Linked DNA regions of Elephas maximus indicus. The protein of the gene in region 2 interacts with the protein of the main gene of each other region in a pairwise test. Links are inferred from orthologs where the notes say so. Each region holds a gene or a part of one and is shown on either strand. Other genes may lie near its edges.

The links.
Region 1: the proteins of RGS19 (region 2) and GNAI2 interact in a two-hybrid assay, tested with the Homo sapiens proteins (2 studies listed by BioGRID and IntAct). The link is inferred for Elephas maximus indicus from reciprocal best matches to the Homo sapiens genes RGS19 and GNAI2.
Region 3: the proteins of RGS19 (region 2) and GNAZ interact in a two-hybrid assay, tested with the Homo sapiens proteins (2 studies listed by BioGRID). The link is inferred for Elephas maximus indicus from reciprocal best matches to the Homo sapiens genes RGS19 and GNAZ.

The regions. Positions count from the first base shown.
Region 1 is NC_064838.1:54,584,638-54,591,762, reverse strand, and holds the start of GNAI2 (guanine nucleotide-binding protein G(i) subunit alpha-2), read right to left. Parts: upstream 3,001-7,125; 5' UTR 2,881-3,000; coding exon 2,763-2,880; intron 1-2,762. UniProt on the Homo sapiens protein: Guanine nucleotide-binding proteins (G proteins) are involved as modulators or transducers in various transmembrane signaling systems.
Region 2 is NC_064843.1:4,063,979-4,071,713, reverse strand, and holds the start of RGS19 (regulator of G-protein signaling 19), read right to left. Parts: upstream 3,521-7,735; 5' UTR 3,189-3,520; coding exon 3,075-3,188; intron 2,916-3,074; coding exon 2,820-2,915; intron 2,636-2,819; coding exon 2,502-2,635; intron 1,022-2,501; coding exon 947-1,021; intron 795-946; coding exon 560-794; intron 472-559; coding exon 280-471; 3' UTR 1-279. Other genes in the region: translation initiation factor IF-2-like, read left to right, coding at 5,876-6,204, 7,468-7,624. UniProt on the Homo sapiens protein: Inhibits signal transduction by increasing the GTPase activity of G protein alpha subunits thereby driving them into their inactive GDP-bound form. Binds to G-alpha subfamily 1 members, with the order G(i)a3 > G(i)a1 > G(o)a >> G(z)a/G(i)a2.
Region 3 is NC_064840.1:23,668,833-23,675,848, forward strand, and holds the start of GNAZ (guanine nucleotide-binding protein G(z) subunit alpha), read right to left. Parts: upstream 3,001-7,016; 5' UTR 2,893-3,000; intron 1-2,892. UniProt on the Homo sapiens protein: Guanine nucleotide-binding proteins (G proteins) are involved as modulators or transducers in various transmembrane signaling systems.

The DNA.
Region 1 (7,125 bases), on a different chromosome or scaffold from region 2:
CAAGGCTGCTAGCTTTTGTTTTCTTTCCCTCAATTGTCTAGCTCAAGACCCCAAATTGCATCTGGACCTTGCTGGTCAGGCAAGTTGAACTGGGTGGGGGGTGGGAGAATCTCTGGAATAGGGCTGGTATCAACTCCTCTGCTCCCCCGACCAAGCTGTCAGGGAAAATCCTCTTGCCAGTGTGTACCACATCTGCCTCTGCCCCAGTGACAGTGACTGTATATGCCTGCTGGCAGGGCTACCCAGGACAGGATAGAGCCAGTATGTGGGTGGGGCAGCAGGCGGGCTCTGGCTGGGAGGGAAGGCTGGCAAATGCCCAGCCTGAGTCCCGTTGCCTGGACAGTCTCTTCCGCTATGTGGGACAGGTGCCCAGTAGTCTGAACTTGCCACAACTGGGCACCCATTACCATCTTGTACCTGGATAGGGAAGGCTCAGTGGTGACTCCTCCCCAGGCAGTCGTGGCAGATCAGGTCCTCAATTTCAGGTAGAGCTTGGTCTCCCAGACCCTTACAGAGCACCCTCTGCAGGGTCCTTCTAGCTCCCACTTCACACCCTCAACAAGAACCTTCATGAGGCCCTATTTTCCCTGACCTGGGCCCAGGCACTTCTATGGCACTCCTCTGGCTCAAGCCCAGAAAGCCCATTTCACAGAGGAAGCAAAGGCCTAAGGTGCAGGATGCTGGGTTGGATTCCCCAGGCTAAAAAGTGCTAAGCTGGCCCCTGTACCCCTGACTGCTAACATCCCAATGTGGGAGGTGTTGCTGGGTCCCACCTGGCCTGCCCCAAAAGCACAGCTGGGCTTCAAGGGACAAGGTCGGCAGGATGGGGGGCCCTTCCGGGGTCAGGACAGAACAGGCAAGGAGCCCTGTACTCTGCTCCCCCTCTTCGCCCCCCACCGCACCATGACCCAGCCCAGCAGTCTTCTCAGCCACCATAATGACCACAATCAACCCAGGAAGAAGCTGGCTAGAGGCTCTGGTCTGGGCACTGGGAGGCAGCAGTACCGGAAGCATCCTCCCCAGGCCCGGCAGGCAGAAGAGACGGGCATTTCACTGCGTCGACACCCACTCACTGCGGCCGCACTCGCAGCAGCAGAGACAGGAAGAGGCAAGCGCCCAACGCAAAGCAGCCCAGGAGGCTGGGCCGCCGCCCCTTCCCGCCCCTTCTCTTCCTCCCCGCGGCGGCAACGGAGCGGATGCCATTTTGAAACCTCGGGGCCGTGCCCCCGAGGCTGGGCCCTCAGGGACAGTCAACAGATGGGCCTATGATGGACAGACACACTGTCTCTCAGCCACAAGCACTGCCTGAAAATCCCAGGTTTTCATAGCCTGGGGACCCCAAGGCGACTGGGGCTAAGGGGCCACACCCCCGCCACACACACACTGTCCAGCCTCCAACGCCACTGCAGGGGCCTCCTTAACCCCCTACCCTGAAAGCACGAAACCGCTGGGCCCCACACCTGCCCCCGTGGCAGGTTAGACAGGGATGCACACTGGGCCCACATCTCGGCAAAAGGCTGGTTCAGATGATCAGAGACATCCTGGCCTACCCTCAGCAGCCCCCAGCTCCTCATTCAGCTGGTCCACTACACTCCCCTTACAGGGCCCCAAGATCCAACAGGGTCACTCTCTCCCAGAGGCTGAGTCCCAGCCCTTCGGCCCTGAAGTGCAGCTTTGGGAAGCCCATCATCGTCAGCAGATTTCCTTGGCCTGCCCGCAGGGGCAGCAATATGTCGGCTGTCTCACCACTTCCACTTCCCCCCACTCCTCGAGCAGCCACCATCTTCCCTGGCCTTGGAGGCGGTCTCAATCCTTACTACGCACACCCCCCCCCCATTCCCCAGACACCCAGGCATCCCTCCCTGGCCTCCCCCCTCGCCGGCCGGGATGAGGCTTAGAAACTTGAAAACATATAGCAAGCGGAACCTTCCGGGAGGCTTGAGGACTGGCCCCTGTCTGAGCCTGGCCCTTGGGGGCCTTGCTCCAGTTCCTTGGGGGTTTGCCTAACCCAGCCTGGGTGGTCCCTAGCCCCTGGGCTCCCTCCTTTCAGCCCAGCCTACCTGGTGCAGGGGAGGTGGAGGAACCTGGGGAAGGCCACTGAGTGGGAGGGGATTTAGGGGAGGGGAAGCAGAGCACTGCAGTAGTGATGCCTGCAAAAGGGGACTTGAGGGTCGGAGACCAGGGGCCTCTGCACATTTGGGAGTTCTGGCTGAAGAGGGCCCATGAGCAGTTACGGGCTCTCACTTGAGAGGTCCCTTGGGGTTGGAGGGTACAGGTGGAGGATATAGAGTCTAGAGTAGAAATGGGACACAGATCGGAAAGGAGTGGATGGGCGCCTGGGAAGGTCTGGGGATGCTCATGCTCAATAGAAATATGGGGGAGCAGGTGGGGAAAACAGGTAAAGCTTGAGGGTAGGGCTGGGTGGGGTTCTGGAAGGATGAAACGACAAGGCCGAGGCTCTGGGGGTATGAGAGGTTGGTCAGCAAGAGTGAATGGTCAAGAAGGGTTCTGGACAGCTGATGTTATCCGACTAGTGCCTGGGTTTGGGATTTGGGGGTCTAGGATTAGTTGGAGGGTCTGATATAGAGTCTGGGCTACCCTCAGAGGTCTAGGCAGACCCAGAGTTTCAGACCCTTATTTGGGAGTCCGGGCTAGGGTTTCAGGCCGGGCCGAGGGGCTCGAAGCCCTTGTCTGGGAGTTTGAAGTCCTTGTCTGGGGAACTGAGTGGGAATCGGGGGTTCCAACGTGGGGCGCGGCCTCACCCAGCAGCAGCAACTTCACCTCCCGCGCCGCCTTCTCGCCGTCTTCCCGCAGATTCTTGTCGATCATCTTGGAGCGCTCGGCCGCCGCCTTGTCCTCGGCGCTCACGGTGCAGCCCATCCCGCTGTCCGCCCGGCCTGGCCGCCGTCCGGCCCCCACACGGCCCCCGGCCCGGCTCGGCCCCGCCCGACCCACTCCGCTCCCGCCGCCGGCCCTCTGCGGGCAGCTCTCGGGTCGGCAGTTCCGAGCGTCTGCGGGCTGCGCCTTCTCGGCCGCGGCGCACCGACGGCGGGGCGGGCCGGGGGTGGGGCCGGGACGAGACGGGCCCGGGACTGGGCCGGGGCGGGTCCGGAGGCGGGGCCAGAGGAGACCTGGGGCCAGTGATTGGCTCGAGGGCAGAGGGAAGGGCGAAGCTAGGCGCAGCCCAGGCTCAGGCCTGGGCTGGAGGCGGAGCCGCGCCGAAGAACAGCACTAAAGGTAGAGCCCAGTCCACGACTGGGCTCCCGGCGGGCTGCCGGCGGGGCGAGGCCCCGGATGGGTTCGGAACCGAGCGCCAGGAGCTCTGAGGCCCGAAGGCGGGGCGGGCGGATCTAGTAGCCCGAGGGTGGGAATCCGGTGCATCTCGCGGGCTGGGCAGGAACCCGCCCTCCGGGCTTTTGCGAGTTGGGTGAGTGGAGTGGAGGAGGCGTGACTTCGTCACTTGCTAAAGTTATTGAATCCAATAAACTTCTTTAGGATCTAAGGAACCCTGGAGCCTCCCTGAACTACGGTTTTCTCAATCTTAAGGCAGGTTTGCCTCTTTCTTGAGTTGCAGGAAAAAAAAAAAAAGGAAAGAAAATAAAGTCAATTACCTTTACACCTTTGTCCAGGCTGTCTCCCTCAGCAAAGGTGCCTTCCTCTATTCACCCAAAGCTTATCCATCCTTCTTTGATCTGCCGGGAGGTGTCCTCCTGCAGGCAGCCATTCTGGACTCCAGCCTTGGACATGGCAACCAGGACTCAAGGGAGAGAGACAGCTGCCATAGTACTTCTGGAAACCTACGTGGCCACGATCTTATGGCCTATCCTTTCCATAGTCTGTCCACCTCTGACCATGGCCACAACCCCAAGGCCTATCCTCCCATGGCCTGTCCCCACTGGGTGGTGGTGGCAGCCGCATGGCCTGTCCGCATCCACTCTGGGCAAAGGTGGGAGGGAACAACAATGTTTCTAGCTGAACATTTCTGCCTTTCTGATTCTGCTCAGGAGGAGCCCACAGCCCTGACCTGGATTGGTCATTTGAAGGGTCTGCCAGGGTTACCCAGGAAGGTGTCCTGTGTGGCCTCAGTGCCATAAGCCTGGGATGCCTGGGTTCTGAGAGAGGGAACGTCCATAAAGTCACATGGGGGAGCTGGCCACCCCAAACCCCTACTGATCACCAACCCCCTCCTCCCCACCCTAGCACATTCCTTGTTCCAGCTCCCAGTCCTCAGGCTGTCCCCTACCCCCGAGTGCCTGTGCATCACTATTTGAACGGCTCCTTTGTTTCAGGAGGCATTGGACTGTAGGCCCTCCAGTGGTTCCCCAACAACTCCCTCCTGCCAAGAGTCAAAGCTCAAGCAGGCCCTGCCCCAGGCAAGCAACAAACATGGCCCACCCAGGGATATGTTCTAATGTAAACCTGGACACAGACCCAGCCCAAAGTATGCCCTATACATTCACACCCAGGCCCAGCCTCCAACGTGCCTTGAGTCCACGGAACACACTATAAAGATGGGTACAGACAGCCAAGAACACAGCCTGTCTACACACAGACCACAAACCCAGCTCCAAGGCGGGCCCCTTCCCTGCTAGCCCCGCCCCATGCCTGAGAGCCGATCCTCTCTCCTCAGGCCTCCCCAGCCTGCTCCTAGCAACAGCCAACAGCTCTCACAGTTGCCGGGCAACAGGGAGAACCTGTCAGCCTCTTGGAGGCCCAGCTCTCCGGAGGTGGGAGAGACACAGACCCCAATCAACGGAAACGGCGGGGCAGGGTGGGGCCACTGAGGGGAATGTCCTGGTCTTGTGGCCATGCTGGTCCCTGGATCTCCCAGCACCTTGGCACCAGCCAGCCACCCCCTTCCAGCCATGTGCTCATCCCAGGGAGTCCAGCAACACCCCCTCACCCCAATGGGTGCACCTTTCCACCTCCATGAGGTCCCCAGGGCTTTGGCTACACCTCTGCTTAGCACTCCAGTCACACACCTCTCACTCCAGGGACTCAGAACCCCACCCGGACATCTCTAGACTGACCTTTCACCTGACTGCCAGTCCATGTCCACCATTGTTCAGAAGCCTCCCCCAGACACCTTGGACACCTCAAACCCATGTTGTCCAGTACTGGGTACGTCCCACCCCCCAACTGGGCCCTGCTCCTGGGCCCTATACCCCTTCATGACCCCTCCCACCAGCCAGAGCCACGAACCCCTCTCCCCACCCTTACATCCTGTCAGCCTCTTCCTCTCCTCAATTCACCCTCAAGTTTGTCCCCGTTCTCTGTCCCCACTGTCCCCCATTATAGGCCTCCTCCGGCCTCCTCCCTGGCTCTTTTGTTTCCCCTACAATCTATCTGGAAACCCTGGTAGTGTAGTGGTTAAGTGCTACGGCTGCTAACCAAAGGGTCGGCAGTTTGAATCCTCTAGGTGCTCCTTGGAAACTCTGTGGGGCAGTTCTACTCTGTCCTATAGGGTCGCTATGAGCCGGGATCGACTCGACAGCACTGGGTTTGGTTTTTTTGGTTTACAATCTATCCACCACATGGCAGCAAAGAGGATCCTGCTGAAACAAATTACATCACTCCCTTGCTCACAAATCTTCCATGGCTCCCCAGTGCCCTGAGGATAAAGCCCATACACACTGCTCTGGACTACACAAGAGATGGTAGAGTGGCTGTTGGCAGCAAGAACTCTAGGGATCAGTCTGCAAACTTGCCAGATGCATGACTCTGGACAAGTATCAGAAACTCCCTGTGCCTCAGTTTTCTCACCCATAAAATGGGCCTAACCCGCTGGATGGCTGAGGTTAGGACTAAGAGAGAAAATAAGGGTAAGAGACCTGGTGTTCTGTTCCCATGAAGATTTCAGCCAAGGAAACCCTATGGGGAAGTTCTGCTCTGTCCTATAGGGTCATTATGAGTTGGAACGGACTCAATGACACATGACGACAACAACAGAGGGAGAAGAGCAATGAGGAAGGGCATTCCAGGAACAGGGAACAGTACATGCAAAGGTAAGCAGGTGGAACTGAGAGGGTGGGTTTGGGGAAGGGTCAGCAAGAAAATCAAGGGTCAGAGCTGGAGAAACTCCTTGCTTTGCAGCTGAGTCAAGTGATGCCCAGAGGGACCAGGAACTATCCACGATCACCAGCGAGGGACATTGCCAGCATGCTGGTTCCTTCACACCTCAGAACCCAGGGCTCCTTCCAAGAAAGTCTGTTTTGGGGGCAGGGGATATTGCTGCCTGGCTAGGGTCTCATGGTCACCAGAAGAGGTATGCCTCGTCCCTGCTCTCACGGGCCCAGCACCACCTAAACTAGACCATAAAGGACAGTGATAGGACATCCAGCAGAGCTGAGGGCAGCACCCCAGCAGGACTGGAGAAGCAACAGCTGCTACTAGCTATCTGGGACAGCTAGGACAGCCAGGGGGCTCGCCACAGGCCACAGGGCAGGTCCAGCTTGTCCTGAGTTCCTACTGTGCACATCCCTAAGCAGGGTGAGGAATGAAGACCCCTTCAGTGGGCTGGCCCCATAACCCACAGGCTCCAGGAAGAGGAAGCTGCCAGCACTTCCCCAAAGGCAGTTTCGGGTGGGTGTGTCTGCCTCACCCCTCCTGCCCAGAGTCTAGAAACAGGCAGGATCCCACCGGGATGCCCAGAGTCTGGGATTTCGGTTATGCCACCTCCATGGCTTCCAGGTGGCAGGGGGTCCCTGGCCGGCTGAGACCCTGTAACCACCAAATCACAGCCTTGTTGGCAGGACCTCTCTTGGCAGCTTCTGTTTGCAGACCTCAGTGACAGGGAGCTCGCTTGCTTGTTCCCTACAGCCCTGAGCCAGGCTTCACCTTCCTGCTTTTTGGCCCAGTAGCAGCTCTGAGATTGGAGTCAGCCATCCTACCCTCCCTTCCCCCTCCCCGCCAGGCCTCTCTTCCCCAAAAAGGAACAGTCCCAGGCCTGGGGACCCTCAGGATCCAGCACCCCCTTCCTAGCCACCGAGCACCATTCACAGATAGTTGGCTTTAGCCTGGGGAATCATGCCCCAGAACTCCTCACTCAGAAGTTTCTGAATGGGCTAGGGGCCCCCACCTGAGGCGGGATCAGCAGGATGACCTGCAGGGAGGGTTCGTCTGTTC
Region 2 (7,735 bases):
AGGCAATTCTCTGGGCCAGAGGCGCCGCCTGGGAAGGACCCTCATGGTGCAGGAGCCCCTGGGGGATGGCGATGGAAGAGCTGCTGGCCAACCAGGAGTAGACGCCCCCCACACTTGCCTCAGCTGGACCTGGAGCACCTGGAGCCTCTGCCTGGCCTCGTGGGGCGGAGCCTGGAGTCAGCGGCCAGCCGGGACTTCCTGGGGTCCCGGACCCCAATTCGACTTGCCTTGCAGTGGAAGCCCACATGGGGCCCTAGGGTCCTGGTGCCTGAGGCGGGCTCAGGCCTCCGACGAGGACGGGGTGGGCCCGTGGAGCAGCAGGGCGCGGTAGACTGGGGAGCTGAGAAAGCGAGGGTAGGAGTCCCGGTGCATGAGCGTGTAGATCTGCAGCTGTGCATCATCGAACGTGTGCGCAGATGGCTCCTGCATCCTCTTGTTGATTCCCTCCCGCACGCGCGAGTCCAGGCTCACCTGCGGGCGGGGCGGGGAGGGGTCAGGGGCCGGTGGGCGGCATTCCCACTCGCCCTGCCCTGCCCGCCCGGCGCTGCCCCACGCGCACCTCCTTGGGGGATAGGATGGACACGTAGTCCTCGTAGATGAGCCGCGCTTTCTCGTCCACCACGTGCTGGTTGGCCTCGGCCTTGAGCTCCTCGCAGGCCAGCCAGAAGAGCATGTTCTCCTCGCTGTACTCCGTGCGCAGGAACTCGCGGAACACGTTGCGCCCAGCGGGGCTGCGCATCAGCTTGTCGAAGGACTGAGCCCAGCTGCGCACCTCTTCAGGGCTTGGCGCGGCGCTGCCAGCAAGTGCCTCGGTCAGGGTCAGACAAGCCACCTGGCCCAACCCTGCCTGCGCCTGATGCGCAGACTCATGCACGCACACGTGCCCACGCCCACCCCACACACGCGCGCCCACCTCATGCGTGCACACAGGCTGGCTGAGACTCACCATGCTTCGCAGCTGGGGAGGGGCTGCAGCTTGGTCTCCCGAGAAGCCTGCCAGGCTCGCCGCCGCTCTTCATTCCTAACATTAGAGAATGGCAGCAACTTGCCTGGGTTCACAGGGACATCACATAAGTGCACACATGGGCCTCAGCACATGGATACTGGCTTGTGGACACATCACAGAGCTATGCATACGGGTAGACACAGGCAGGTGAGCAGACACAGGGCTCAGTGCACAGGAGATGCAGGCGTGTGAGCAGGCACAGGGCTCGGTGCACAGCAGACGCAGGCGTGTGAGCAGGCACAGGGCTTGGTGCACGGGAGACGCAGGCGTGTGAACAGGCACAGAGCTTGGTGCACAGGTAACTGGCGCACGGAAGGGCAACCCCTGGAGTCTTTGCTCCCTTCACACCCTTCCTGGGAAGGGGGTCCACTCTCCTGCCCACTGCTCCTTTCCCCCTCCCTCCACTGAATCTGCTTGTCCAGTTGCTGACCCTGCCAAGGCCACGGCCTCTGTCTCCTTCGGCGATGTTTGGCTGGTGACCCCCACTATCTTCCTGCTGGGACCCTGCATGATCTGTCTGGAGCTCCTCCTACCTCCCTGGCCAAGCCCCCGACCCTACCCGCTTTCCAGCCTTTCATCCCAGGGGCCCCTGGCAGGTCCACCCTGCAGGCCCAACCGGCCCTGCTGAAAGCCTGCCCTGTGCCCACCTATCAGGCCTCACTATCTGACCCTGACCCCCAGGTATGGCTTCTCTCTCCCAGTCTTCTCCCCACTTGATGGTGCCAGACCAAGCTCAGTGCCCCGGCCCCACACCTCTTCCTCCTCAGCAGTGGCATCACTGCCTCCAGAGATACTGGCCTCCAACCTGGCCCACAACCCGAGTCCTCTCCATCCCTCCCATACCCCGCCCCAGCCAGAGACACCACCAAGTCCTAATTACCTCGGCTCCCAATGCTACCCTCATGGTCTCTTTCCTGGGCTCTGCCCCTGGTTTCTCACTGGTCGCCTGATTTCACTTTGGGTCCCTACGGCCCACCCTCCACTCCACAGCCAAACCTGAAGCCTGAATAGGGTCAGGGTACGAGGGGTGGCGGCCTCCAGCTCTGCAAAACCCCATGCCCTCCTGTCCCAGCACCTGTGCCCCCCCTCTGGGTGCTCTTCCCCATCTTCCAGGCTTGGCTCATCTGTTCCTTCCTCAGAGCCCCCCAGCGTCCCCTCCGCAGCCCTTGGTACAACCTGCAGAGTCTGTTTTCTGTTTCTGCTCTTCTAGGTCCCTAGGCCAGAGCAGCGTTGATAAACATGTATCAAGCACGTGGACAAGCAGGTGCACAGGTGCACACAGGTGTGGGCCTGGTACCTGCCCACGGGTACACCCTTGGCTCACTGGAGTCTCCTGGAGGGGCCTGGGCAGGGCAGGGCTGGCAAGGTGGCAGGGCTGTCCTGCCTGCAGCCTGTACCTCAGGAGCCTCTGGCCCCCAACACACCCCCCAGCCCCCTTCGCACCCCCAGGCTCCCATGCTCCCCCAGGTCCCCCCTGCACCCCAGGCCCACCTACCAGGAGCAGCTGCAGCAGCAGCACCAGCACAAGCAGCAGGGATTGCGGCTGGGGGCAGCCGGGACGGCCGCAGGAGGGGCCGCGTCATGCCTGGACATGGAGGGCGGCTGGTCCGCCTCCTCTGGCCCTGTGTGCTGTAGAGACAGAGGCTCAGCCCAGAACACACCAGCCCGGCTCCTCCCCCACTGCCTGCCCGAGGGGCTACACCTCCTGGGACATGACCCTTCCTGCCTCCCAGGTGTTCAGGGGTCTCCCAAACTCCCTGTTGCCCCCACCCTATCTTGCCCCCCCATCTTCCCCAGGGGAGCAGGGGCGCACCTGTTTCTCAGCCTCATGCGGGGTGGGCATGGGTGGGCCAAGAAGGTCCCCAGGCTCTGTGGTGCCTGCTCCGGAACCCTCACCACGGCCGGGGGTCTGGGGAGAGAGGCCGAGGCTCTGAGAACCTGAGACCCCAGTCCCTGCCAGCCCCTGGGGGTCCTGAGAGGGTCTCCCTCTTTCCTCCCCAAGCCCTCTGCCCCCAACCTTCATCCCTGGCTCCCATCTGGGCTCTCCTCCCCCCACCCCCAAGCCTACACCAGGACTGCAGGCCCAGGTCAGTTGGGGAGGGGGCTGTAGCAGCTTCTGGCCCCTCAATCCTAGTCTGGGCCCCAGAAGAGGCCCCCACGGAAGGTTCCGGGACACCCCCATCAGCTCGGTCCCTGGGAAGCCGGAAGCCTGGGTTCCTCTTTCTTGGTTTCCAGCTCTCTGCCCCTCCCCAAGGGGGCTGGGGGCCCCTTAGAGTCATGGGGGTGGCAGTCAGACATTCAGAGCCCCCCTACCCCCTGCCAGCTCCCTTCATTCTGGGTTTTCTGTCCAGACTGTGGGCGCTGGGTACGGTTGCTCACAACCAAGAGCCTTGAATCTGCCTGTCAGTCTCAGGATTCTGACAATTCACCAGGACTCAACAGAGTAGCAGGCTGGGCCTGCAGCATGGAGAATTTGAGTGGGACTTGGGGAAGGACTTTCTGAGGGTGTGGGGAGTGGGGCGGGGGGGGTGTCTCAGAGAAACTTGCCCTGGCCCAGTGCCCCACTTCCCACTTCAGTCTTTGGTGCCGTCCCTGCCTGCAGGCACCCACCTTCTCCCAGAAACCCATGCCTTGACAGTGCTGCCTTCTTAGCCTGCACCCAGTGTCTCCGTGGCACCCCCGCCCGACCGCTGCCTCTAGGCAGCGGAAACCACTGCAGCCAAGCGCCCCACTGCAGGGCGTGCCATGCTGGGGGTGCCAGGCTGGGGGAGGGGGCACCTGTTCCTGGGCTGGGGCCTGGAGTCCCTGTGCTGGCCATCCTGCCTCTGTTTGCACTGCACCTTGGGCAGGGGTGCCAACGCAGATGGTTTCGCCAAGCCTGGGGGTGGAGGCAGGGGTGGGGGCACCAGAGACCCATTGGACTTACTCAGTGCAGCCTGGCCAATCTGAACCCTGCAGGTGATTTTGAATGCCCCTTGCCCACACACACTGCACCTGCCACTTGACCCTGTTCCACTCTCTTTTCTCATTCAGTATACCCCCACCCTACCCCTGCTCATGGTGTTTTAATCCCAGTTTCAGTCTGTCCGGGTTGGCTCTCAGGGCTCCAGGGAAGGAGTGAAGGTGAACGCTCTAGGCAGGCCTACTCCTGGGGCCCCTGGCTGGTTATGGGGGCCTCGTGTGGCAGCTCTCAGGGGCCACGACGATACTGCTCCCTGGCCTGGGCATGTGGAGGCCTGGCTCTGACAGGCTTTGAGGGAGAGGGTGGGCACAGGGTTCTCTGGAGCCTAGGCCCTTACGATCTGCCTGGCTTCACAGACCCTGTGGGGGGCCCTCAAACTGAGGCCCACAGGCCCCACAGATGGGGAAACAATGCACTTTCCCTGGGGTCAGGTTTCTAGGGAGAGGAAGGGCTGTGGCTCCTCCTGAGATCCGGGAGCTGTACCCCCAGACAGGGTGATGACTTCCTCTTCCACACCACCCCTACTGTGAGTGGAGCTGGCCCTGCCCCTCCCCACTCCCTTAGCTCCAACCTGCTCTGAATTGGAGGAAGGGGACCTGTTTAGGGTGCAGAGCCCCATGGTGGGGGCCAAGTCCCTTCTTCCCCAGGCCCTTGGCATGGTCCCTACACTTGGCTCCCCGTGCCCTCCCTAGGCCGCTGAGGCCATGCCATACCCTGGGGCACCCATGGGTGCCCTGGGCTGCCTCCTGGGAGGGTAGGGAGTCTGAACTAGGGTCCTCCTGCCTCTCATGCTGATGTTCTGGGGGCGCCTCCCTTTCCCTAGCCCCCAGACTTTGGCCCCCCGAGTCTGGGATGGAGAAGCTGGATAGGAGGCCAGTCCAGCCTCTGGGGACAGAGTTTCCCCTGGGAGTGGCTGCTGCTCCGCACCACAGAAGGAAAAGGAACGTCCAGAGCCGCCCATTCCAAAAAAAGAATAAGAAAATGTGACAATCCCAGAAAGAAATGCCATAACCTTTGGGGGGGGGGGCGACAGAGGGGCCCACTGTCTCTGATCCTACCCAGTACCCTCTCCTACCTGCCTCTTCCGCTAGCCTGGTGGGGGGAGCCCCTGGCCTGGCCCCCTCCAAGGAAGGCCGGGCCACCCCAGCCTTGGTGATCCCGGCCCCGAGACCGACCTGCAATGGCGGGGGCAACCCCCTCCCTCAAAGTCTGGGACCCTGTCTTCTGACGCCTCCACCCCACCTTAAGGAACTCTCCCTGGCCCAGCACCCCACTCACCAGAGACCCAAAGATGGGGTGGGGGCGGGAGGGGCCAGGTTCGTTCTGGCCCCACCCTGGTCTCCGAAGGGGCGTGCACTGCAGCGGGGACTTGAGTCAGACGGCAGGAGGTACTCCTGGGGCGTCTGGAGGGGCCAGCAAAGGAGCCCTGATCGGCTGGGCCGGGGGCGCAGCGCCTCCCCGCCGGCTTGCAGGGCCGAGCAGCTGCCAAATCTAACTGGGGCGGGGGCGGAGGGCGTCCCGCCCCGGCCCCTCCCCACCAGGACGAAGCGGGCGGGAGACGCGGAAACCTGGGTCCTTCCGGCCCCCACCTTTGAGCAATCGCTCCCCCGGGCTTAGAGCTGCAGAAAAAGGGGAAACTGTGCAGCACCCCTCCCCCGCACGGGGGGGTGGTCCGGTCCTGCAGCGGCCCAGGGTCCACGTGGGCCTGGGGCTGAAAGTCTGAGTGCGGCCCGGGGCGCCGGCTCCCAGGCTCCCTCCCAACAGCCCCAGGCCGGGAGGGGAGCCGCGTCCCGGGGCCGCGCGGGCGCGTGCACTCACCGGCCGCGCTCCCGAGCCGCCGCGCCGCCGCCGCCCGACCCCGCGCGCCGCGAGGTCCGGCAGGAGCTCGGGGAGGGGGCGCGAGGCGCATGCGCAGGCCCTCGGCCGCACTTCCCCAAAGCGCGGGGCCTGGACTTCCTCGCGCTGGAGGCGCCCGCCCTGCCCCGCCCGCCCGCCAGCCCGCCCGCCGGGGCGCTCGGCCGGCTCCCCCGCAGGCCTCTTCGCGCCCACATGCCCGGCATTGCGCGGAAAGTGGGGTGCTGGCTTTGTGGCGGCCTGGGGTGCGCGGCGACCTCTCCCCCTACTCTTCACAGCTGGGCCGTTCTTGCAGGGAGTCCACGAGGCTCCTGGCCAGTGCGGGGGCGCCAGCGAGAGCACCCCAGGCCCCGGGGTCCCGTGTGCCGCTTGCCCCGCTTGGGTAAGGAAGAAGTCCCTGGAAAGGGCTGACCCGTGGTCACGCCAGGCCCGCCCGCCCTCTCCAATCTGATGCCTCATCTGTAGAGTGGGGTTAAGTGAGACGTGCTGTCACCATGCTGGGGGTGGGGGTGGGGGTTCCGTGCTGCGGGGCTGGCGGCGCTGGTGGGTGTGGGCTCTTGCGTGGAGTCCACCAAAGGGCTCGTTTCCAGGGCGTGACCAACTCCCTTCTGAGCCCTCCTAAAGTCCAGAGCCCTCTGGGTCCCCTTTGCCACAGATGCCCTTTCCTTTCAGTGGCTGGCTTTCTTGGCCCTTTTTGACACAGCACAGCTGTGGGTGAAGTTCCTTATCACAGAATGTTCTGGGCCAGTGTCAGGGTGGCCCAGACCACTCTGCAGACATCTTGTGTCTGTGGCCCCCCAAGCCTGCTGTTCCCCCAGTGCCTGTAAGGCCTAGCCTGGCTGGAGGCAGGGCTCCCCACACAAATGCCCACCCACTGCACAGCCCATGTGCACAGTGGGGCAGGGCTCTTCCAAGCACCAGAGAAGTGGGGATAGTTCACTTGGCAGGTGTTGGGTGTCTGCTGTGGGCCCTGAGTGAGGCCAACCTGTAAGGGGTTGGGTGGAGGGTGCGCTAAGGAGAGAAACAGGTAGAGGAGGGAGGGCAGGGTGGTACCCAATTGGTGTCAGGAATCTTTGGTGAGCAAGGGTAGTGCGAAGGTTGAGGGTGGGGGGGTTGCACTGTGGTTCTGTTGGAAAAGCAGTGAGGCCAGGGGCCAGGGCAGGCCCAGGTCAGAGTGGGAGCTGGGCCCACAGGACAGTCCTCGCTCTCCAGCTTGGCCGATTACTTGTTGGAGGCAGCATGATGAGCAGGGCCAGAGGCCGAACACCTGTCCAGGGATGGCTGCCTCTTACTGAGCCCAGGCATTAGTCCTGAGAAGTATGTGCTATTACCGCATCTTTACAGATGAGGACCAGGCACCTGGTCAAAGCCAGACAACCTGGCTGCGATGGCCAAAGTGCCGCCCATCTCAAGAGAAGTGCAGGGGGCAGCTGGCAGGAGTGGGGTCAGCACGTCCCCTGACTTCCAGCCACTGCCACTGTTCTCCTCTGGCCCCTGGGGCCTGTCGGCCTTTTCCCTCGACTCTCCCCTCCCTCTGCTTCCCCGCTCTGTTGAGTACTCCAGAGGCAGACGGATGCTCACATGGATGCTCACAGGCCCTGCTGTATGTACCCTGACAGCTCTCCTCATTTGGTCTCCTTTACAGAAGACCACTTGTGAGGAAGACCCTTCCCATGTACCACAGGAGAAACCGAGGCAGTGACCTGTTCAAAGCCACGCAGCTGGTGATGGTGGAGATGAGGTTTGGACAGGGACCCCAGCCCCCCGGTGCTCACCTGACCCCTCAGTCCCTGACACACTGACCTGGCCCTCTCTTAGCGCCTTCCGTGGACAGAAGCCTCCTCCAGGCCCCACAGGAATGTCTTTGCCCCCTTCCCATAGCCCCCTACCCAGACCTGGAGCCCCTCCCTGAC
Region 3 (7,016 bases), on a different chromosome or scaffold from region 2:
GACACCAAAATGTGAGGGGCATGGCTAAATTTTAGCTCAACAAATGAGTGAATGGACTATGCAGGCTCCGCGAGGAGGGCTGATGTGACCTCCCACAGGCTCCAGGACTCGTTGGACAGCCTCCATGAGGTTGTCTCTGCAGATAAAGCACCGCCCCTTTTGTGTAGACATGTGGAAGGAGCCTGGTGCGTAGGGAGACCCCTCCTGTCAGTGTGGACATGTGAAGGGAGCCTGGCATGTAGTAAGGAGACCCTTCCTGCTGGTGTTGATGTGCAGGGGGCCAGGCATGTGGGGAGACCCCTCCTGTTAGCATGGACGGGGAGGGGGCAGGGCATGTGAGGAGACCCGTCCTGCCAGCATGGACAGGGAGGGGGCCAGGTACATGGGAGACCCTCTGTCAGAGTGGAGAGGGTGAAGGCCAGCACATGAGGAGACCCGACCTGTGGCCAGGTCTTGTGACACTAGACTGGAGCTCCCCCTTTGCCTCACTACCCCATGGGCGTGAGCATCTGGGTACTCCCATGATCCCCTCCCATCTGTGAGGCTCCGACCCTCCTACCTGAGGCTGGCCTTTGGTGTCACCCCGATGCCATGTCCATTCCCTTCGTGATCCTTTCTGCCATGCACATCTCTTGCAGGCCAACCCAGGGGCTCTGTCACCCTGTTTCCTTCCTGGAGGCTGGGGGAGCTGCATTCTACTCCCCTCCCCATGAGTTCCACAAGCCTGGCCACGGTCAGCTGTGTGCATTCTAAGTCTACTGGGGTGAGCATAGGCTGCTCACAGGGCCACTTCTGCATTCTCGAGGCCAGGGAGATCAGGCCTACTGAGTCCCAGGCCAGCCGTCCCATCACCCCATGACACCACCCTCCGGGGTGGGGAGGTCCTCCATGGCCCTCCCCAGGCCCACGCCCATTACCCAGAAGCCCCTGGAATTGCCCTAGAAGCTCCTGAGAGCTCAACCAAGGCCCTCCTCCTGGGGCTCCAGGCCAGAGAAGCCTGGGCGCTGGGTCAGAGGGAGAATTCCCGCCCATGTAGCCCAACCTAGGGCCCCGTGCCAGGTCCCCAGAATGGGTCTGGACAAGGCAAAAGTTACATCCAGGAGTTGAGCAGCTTCACGGCGCTAGGCACAGACCACAAGCCCCACGAGGGCAGGCAGGCCTGCCTCTCGCTGCAGCAGCCCAGGCTTGGGCCTTGAGCCCAGTGTGTATCTATGCGGGTGGGGTGGAGGCAGGGCTGCAGAGATGAGTCAGACAGCCCCTCAGAGGGAGCCAACACAGCCCCTTGAGCAAGCAGCTCAGGGAAGAAAGTGGTCCCAGCCTTATTCCCTTCCTGCCCCAGAAAATCAACGTCTGCCAGAAGAACCCATAGGGAGGACTTTAAAGAACAAATGCCATGGCCTCAGCCTCCCTGGAAAGTGCCTGGGGGTCCTCTTTCCTCAGAGTGTAGCCAGGCCTCCTGCACACCCCTCAGCTCGCAGATGGACACCCTGGGCCTTCATGGTGACTGCTCTCGAATGTTCATGTCCCGGAGACCCTGGAGACATAGTCACTGGCTGAACAGGTAAACAAGGCAGGTGTTCCATGGCTACCAAGAAGGTGGTTGGACATTGCCCAAAAAGGATCAGGTTCCTGGGGGGCAAACCCCAGGGGGTCCTGAAAGTTTTGCCCCAGGCCCACCCCATCTCCTGGTTACAGAGCTGCCAGAAGCTTCCTTCTCTTCTGCAGATGAGGAGGCCGAGGTCTCCACTGGAGGAGCCAGGCTAACAAGCGAGAGGGCAGCTCTGTGTCCCCAGCTTCCCTTCAGTCCAAACCGGATGACCCCACCACCTTTCCCACCATACCTCAGGCTTCTTCAAGCATGCCCACTCCTGCCAAACCCGAGAACCCTCTCTGTGTCCCTTCCCCCATCTGCCTGCAAAGCCTACTCCAGCCATGCCATGCCCTTCAAGCACCAGCTCAAAATGTCTCCTTGCACATAGGCCCACCTGACCCCAACTGGGGTCACCTCCCCAGGTCAAGTGCTGCTCTTGGGCTGGGCTATGTGAGCAGGGCCACATCTCCCTTATGGCATGGTGAGTCAGTCCTAGGGAGACAGGACAGTCCACTCCCCCCTGTCCACCCAGTGCCTGGTCCTAGGGAGCAAGGGTTCAATAAATGTTTGTTTGACCGAATTCTGCCAGGAGCTTCCTCCAGAAAGAGTGCAGGGTAGTGGGGCCCGGTCCCCGGCCGGGAAATCACTGGGGCAGAGGAGCCAGTCAGCAGAGCGGGTGCCTCCCCAAGCCAGGCGGACCTCACTGCCAGGTGGGTTTCTCCATCTGAGACCCAGACCCCGGGAGCCCTGGGCTGACACTGCCCTCCCACCCATCCTCTCTTGTCAGAAAAGCCCTAGTGCCGGCCTAGCGGTTTCCTGCCGCCACCCCCCAGAATGCTCGGCACCGCCCTAATGGCAGGGCCTCTGGGTCCCCCGCAGGACACAGAGCCCCAGCCCCCACGCCCTCCCTCAGAGCACCCCCGCCGCCTTTTAAGGGAAAAACACCAAGCCGGGGACAGATGGTCGATACTCAGCTCTGCTCTAAATGCCCCCAGGAACCTGCTCGCGGCAGGAGCTATGACCCCACACTGTGTCCGCGTCCCAAGCCAGGCCTCGGTCTCCGACAGGCCCCGCGTCCGCGCCCCTCCTCGCGCCCAGGGAGCCCCGCCGCCCTGCCCACCCTCCCGGGCCGACGTCACTGGCACCTGCACGGCCCGCCGCCCCCCGCCCGCAACCTGCCGCCCCCGAGGCCTTAACCCGGGCACAGTGGTCGCGCGGGGGGCTGGGGGTGGGGGCGGCAGGCGGGGACGGGGGCTGCCGCGCCCACGGCCAAGCTTCACCGCGCGCGGCCGCACACTCACCTCCGGGCCGGGCACCGAGCCTGCCGAGCTGCTCCGGGAGGCGGCGAGCGCGGGCCCGGCGCCCTCGTTCCGCACGACGCGGGCGGCGGCGCCGCGCGGGGACGTGACCGGACCGCGGGCGGCGCTCACGCACGGCCGGCCGCTCCCCCGCCCGCTCCCCCGCGGGTCCCCCGCCCCGCGCCGCCAGAGGAGGCGGAGCCGCGAGCGCACTGCGTTGCCAGGCCAACCGCGGGCGGGGTGCCGCGCGCCCGCCGGGCACCACGCGCCGGGCGCCGCCGCCCGCCACGACCGCCGGCTTGCGGCTCATTGGGCGCGGGCGGCTAACCGACGCTGCCGTGGGCCAATGGCGGCGAGCAGGGGCGGGGCCGCGGCTCCGCGCGCACCGCAGTCCCGCACGCTCTGTCTGTCCGTGCCCACGATCGCGCAGAAGGCCCGCGCGCCCACCCGGGAGCTGGCGGCGCTCAGGGTCTGAGCTCAGCGTCGCCCCTCCCGAGCCCCGTGACCTGGTCGCCGACTGACCTCCCCGAGTTTGTCTTCGAAGTGGGGCTCGCGGCACCTGCCTCCCTGGACTGTCAAGACAATCCTGTTGTCAGCCTTCTGGTCAGCCCTTGATTTATGGCGACCCCATGCACAACTGAAAAAAAAAACAAACCCAACCCGCTACCCTCGCCCAATCATCCCTATGATCCTTTGCGGCGTGAAACCCTTGTGATCCAGAGGGTTTTCATTGGCTGGTTTTTGGAAGTTGTTTGCCAGGCCTTTCTTCCTACTGTCGTAGTCTGGAGGCTTTGCTGAAACCTAGTCAGCATCACAGCAGCACACAAGCCTCCTTGGACAGATGACTGGTTCCTGCGCATGAGGTGCACTGGCTGGGAATTGAACCTGGGTTTCCAGCATATTTTTGTTAGGTGACCACCAGTCGGATCCAACTCATAGTGATTCTGTGTAAAACAGAAGGAAACACTGCCAGTCCTGCCCCATCCCCATAATGATTGCTATGTTTGAGCCCATTGTTGCAGCCACTGTGTCAATCCATCTCATTGAGGGTCTTCTTTTTTGATGACTCTCTACTTTTCCAAGCATGATGTCTTTCTCCAGGGACTGGTCCCTCCTGATAAGAAGTCCAAAGTATGTGAGACGAGGTCTTGCCATCCTTGCTTCTAAGGAGCACTCTTGCCAACACCGTAATTAAAAGGCATCAATTCTTTTTTGGTCTTCTTTGTTCATTGCCCAGCTTTCGCGTGCATGTGAGGTGATTGAAAACACCATGGCTTGGGTCAGGCACACCTTAGTTTTCAAAGTGACGTCTTTGCTTTTCAGCACTTGAAAGAGGTCTCTTGCAGTAGATTTGCTGAATGCAATATGTCATTTGCTTTCTTGACTGCTGCTTCCATGGCTGTTGATGGTGGATCCAAATAAAAGGAAATCCTTGACAGCTTAAGTATTTTCTCTGTCTATCATGATGTTGCTATTGGTTCATTTGTGAGGATTTTTGTTGAGGTGTAATCCCTACTGAAAGTTGTAGTCTTTGATCTTCATCAGTAAGTGCTTCAAGTCCTCTTTGCTTTCAGCAAGCAAGGTTGTGTTATCTGCATAATGCACGTTGTTAATGAGTCTTCTCCAATCCTGATGCTGGGTTCTTCTTCATATAGTTCAGCTTCTCGTATTATTTGGTCAGCATACAGATTGAATAAGTATGGTGAAAGGATACAACCCTTGATGCACACTTTCCCTGATTTTAAACCGCGAAGTATCTCCTCCTTCTGTTCAAATGACTGCCTCTTGGTCTATGTACAGGTTCCACCTGAGCACAATGAAGTGTTCTGGAATTCCCATTCTTCCTAATGTTATCCATAATTTGTTATGATCCACACAGTTGAATGCCTTTGCATAGTCAATAAAACACAGGTAGACATCTCTCTGGTAGTCTCTGCTTTCAGCCAGGATCCATCTGACATCAGCAATGATATCCCTGGTTCCATGTCCTCTTCCGGATCCGGCTTGAATTTTCTGCAGTTCCCTGCCTATGTACTGCTGCAACCACTTTTGCATTACCTTCAGCAAAATTTTACTCATATGTGGTATTAATGATATTGTTTGATAATTCCACATTTGGTTGGATCACCTTTACTTGGAATGGGCACAAATATGGATCTCCTCTAGTTGGTTGGCCAGGTAGCTGTTTTCCAAATTTCTTGGCATAGATGAGTGAGAGCTTTCAGGGTTGCATCTGTTTGTGGAAACATCTCAATTGGTATTTTGTCAATTCCTGAAGCCTTGTTTTCCCCTCAATGTCTTCAGTGCAGCTTGGACTTCTTCCTTCAATACCACAGGTTCTTGATCACATGCTACCTCCTGAAATGGTTGAACGTCGACTACATCTTTTTGGCACAGTGACTCTGTGTATTCATATCATCTTCTTTTGATGCTTCCTCCATCGTTCAATATTTTGCCCATAATATCCTTCAATATTGCAGCTTGTGGCTTGAATTTATTCTTTAGTTCATTCAGCTTGAGAAATGCCAAGTGTGTTCTTCCCTTTTGGTTTTCTAACTCTAAGTCTTTGCACATTTCATTATAATACTTTACAGTGTCTTCCCAAGCTGCTCTTTGACATCTTCTGTTCAGCTCTTCATCCTTTCTTCTGTTCATTTTAGCTACTCTATGTTCAAGAGCAAGTTTCAGAGTCTCTTCTGACATTCATTTTGGTCTTTTCTTTTTTGTCTTTTTAATGACCTTTTGCTTTCTTCATGTATGATGTCCTTGATGTCATCTCACAACTCTTCTGGTCTTTGGTCATTAGTGTTTAATGCATCAAATCTATTCTTGAGATGGTCTTTAAATTCAGGTGGAGTATACTCAAGGTTTTATTTTGGCTCTCGTGGACTTGTTTTAATTTTCTTCAGCTTCAACTTGAACTTGCATATGAGCAATTGATGGTCTGTCTGCAGTCGGCCCCGGCCTTGTCCTGATTGATGATATTGAGCTTTTCCATTGTCTCTTTCCACAAATATATTAATTTGATTCCTGTGTATTCCATCCTTTGAGGTCCATGTGTATAGTCACCGTTTATGTTGTTGAAAAAAGGTATTTGCAATGAAGAAGTCATCTTGCAAAATTTTGTCATGCCATCTCCGGTGTCGTTTCTATCACCAAAGCCATATTTTCCAACTACTGATCCTGCTTCTTTGTTTCCAACTTTCGCATTCCAATCACCAGTAATTACCAATGCATCTTGATTGCATGATCAATTTCAGACTGCAGAAATTAGTAAAAATCTTCAGTTTCTTCATTTTTGGCCTTAGTGACTGGTGTGTAAATTTGAATAGTAGTTGTGCTAACTGGTGTTCCTTGTAGGCATATGGATATTATCCTATCACTGACAGAGTTGTACTTCAGGATAGATCTTGAAATGTTCTTTTTGTTGATGAATGTGACTCCATTCCTCTTAAGTTTGTCATTCCCAGCATAGTAGACCACAGGATTTTCTGATTCAAAATGGCTAATTCCAGTCCATTTTAGCTCACTAATGCCTAGGATATTGATCTTTATGCGTTCTATTTTGCGTTCATGAAAATGAGGGCCTTCTTTCTCAAATTTAAAATGCTAACCTTAAAACTCTCCAGTGGTTCTTAGGCCAATGTCCCTATCCTACCCAAGGGCCACCCACCAGTCTGGCTGTTCCTGACCCATCCAGCCTCATGGCCTCCTTGCATGCTTCCTGGCTGTAGCCACACTGGTCTTTTCTGGATTCTTCTGATGCCTCACGCTCCCTCACACCCAGGGCCTCCTCCACCTGGAAGGTGCTTCTCTCCTGCCCCACATTGCTGGCCGCCATTTACACGCAGAACATGTGGAAGGCTTTGCAAACCCTAAAGTTTCACACAGGTGAGCCTGGTACAGCATAGGAGGGGTGCTATTTATCTCTGCTCCTCATATCCCCTCCACACTTCCTGCACATAGAGACTTTGGGGGTTCCTGGGAATCCCGGTCCAGGAAAAGTGGCTTTGGAGAAGCAGAAGGGAGCCAGCTCAGCCAAGGTCTGGGCCCTGTTGGCACATTTGGGGAGCTCATGGAAGGCACCTTAAGACAGGCTGCCAAATTCTGCTTTCAGTTTCAGGGGG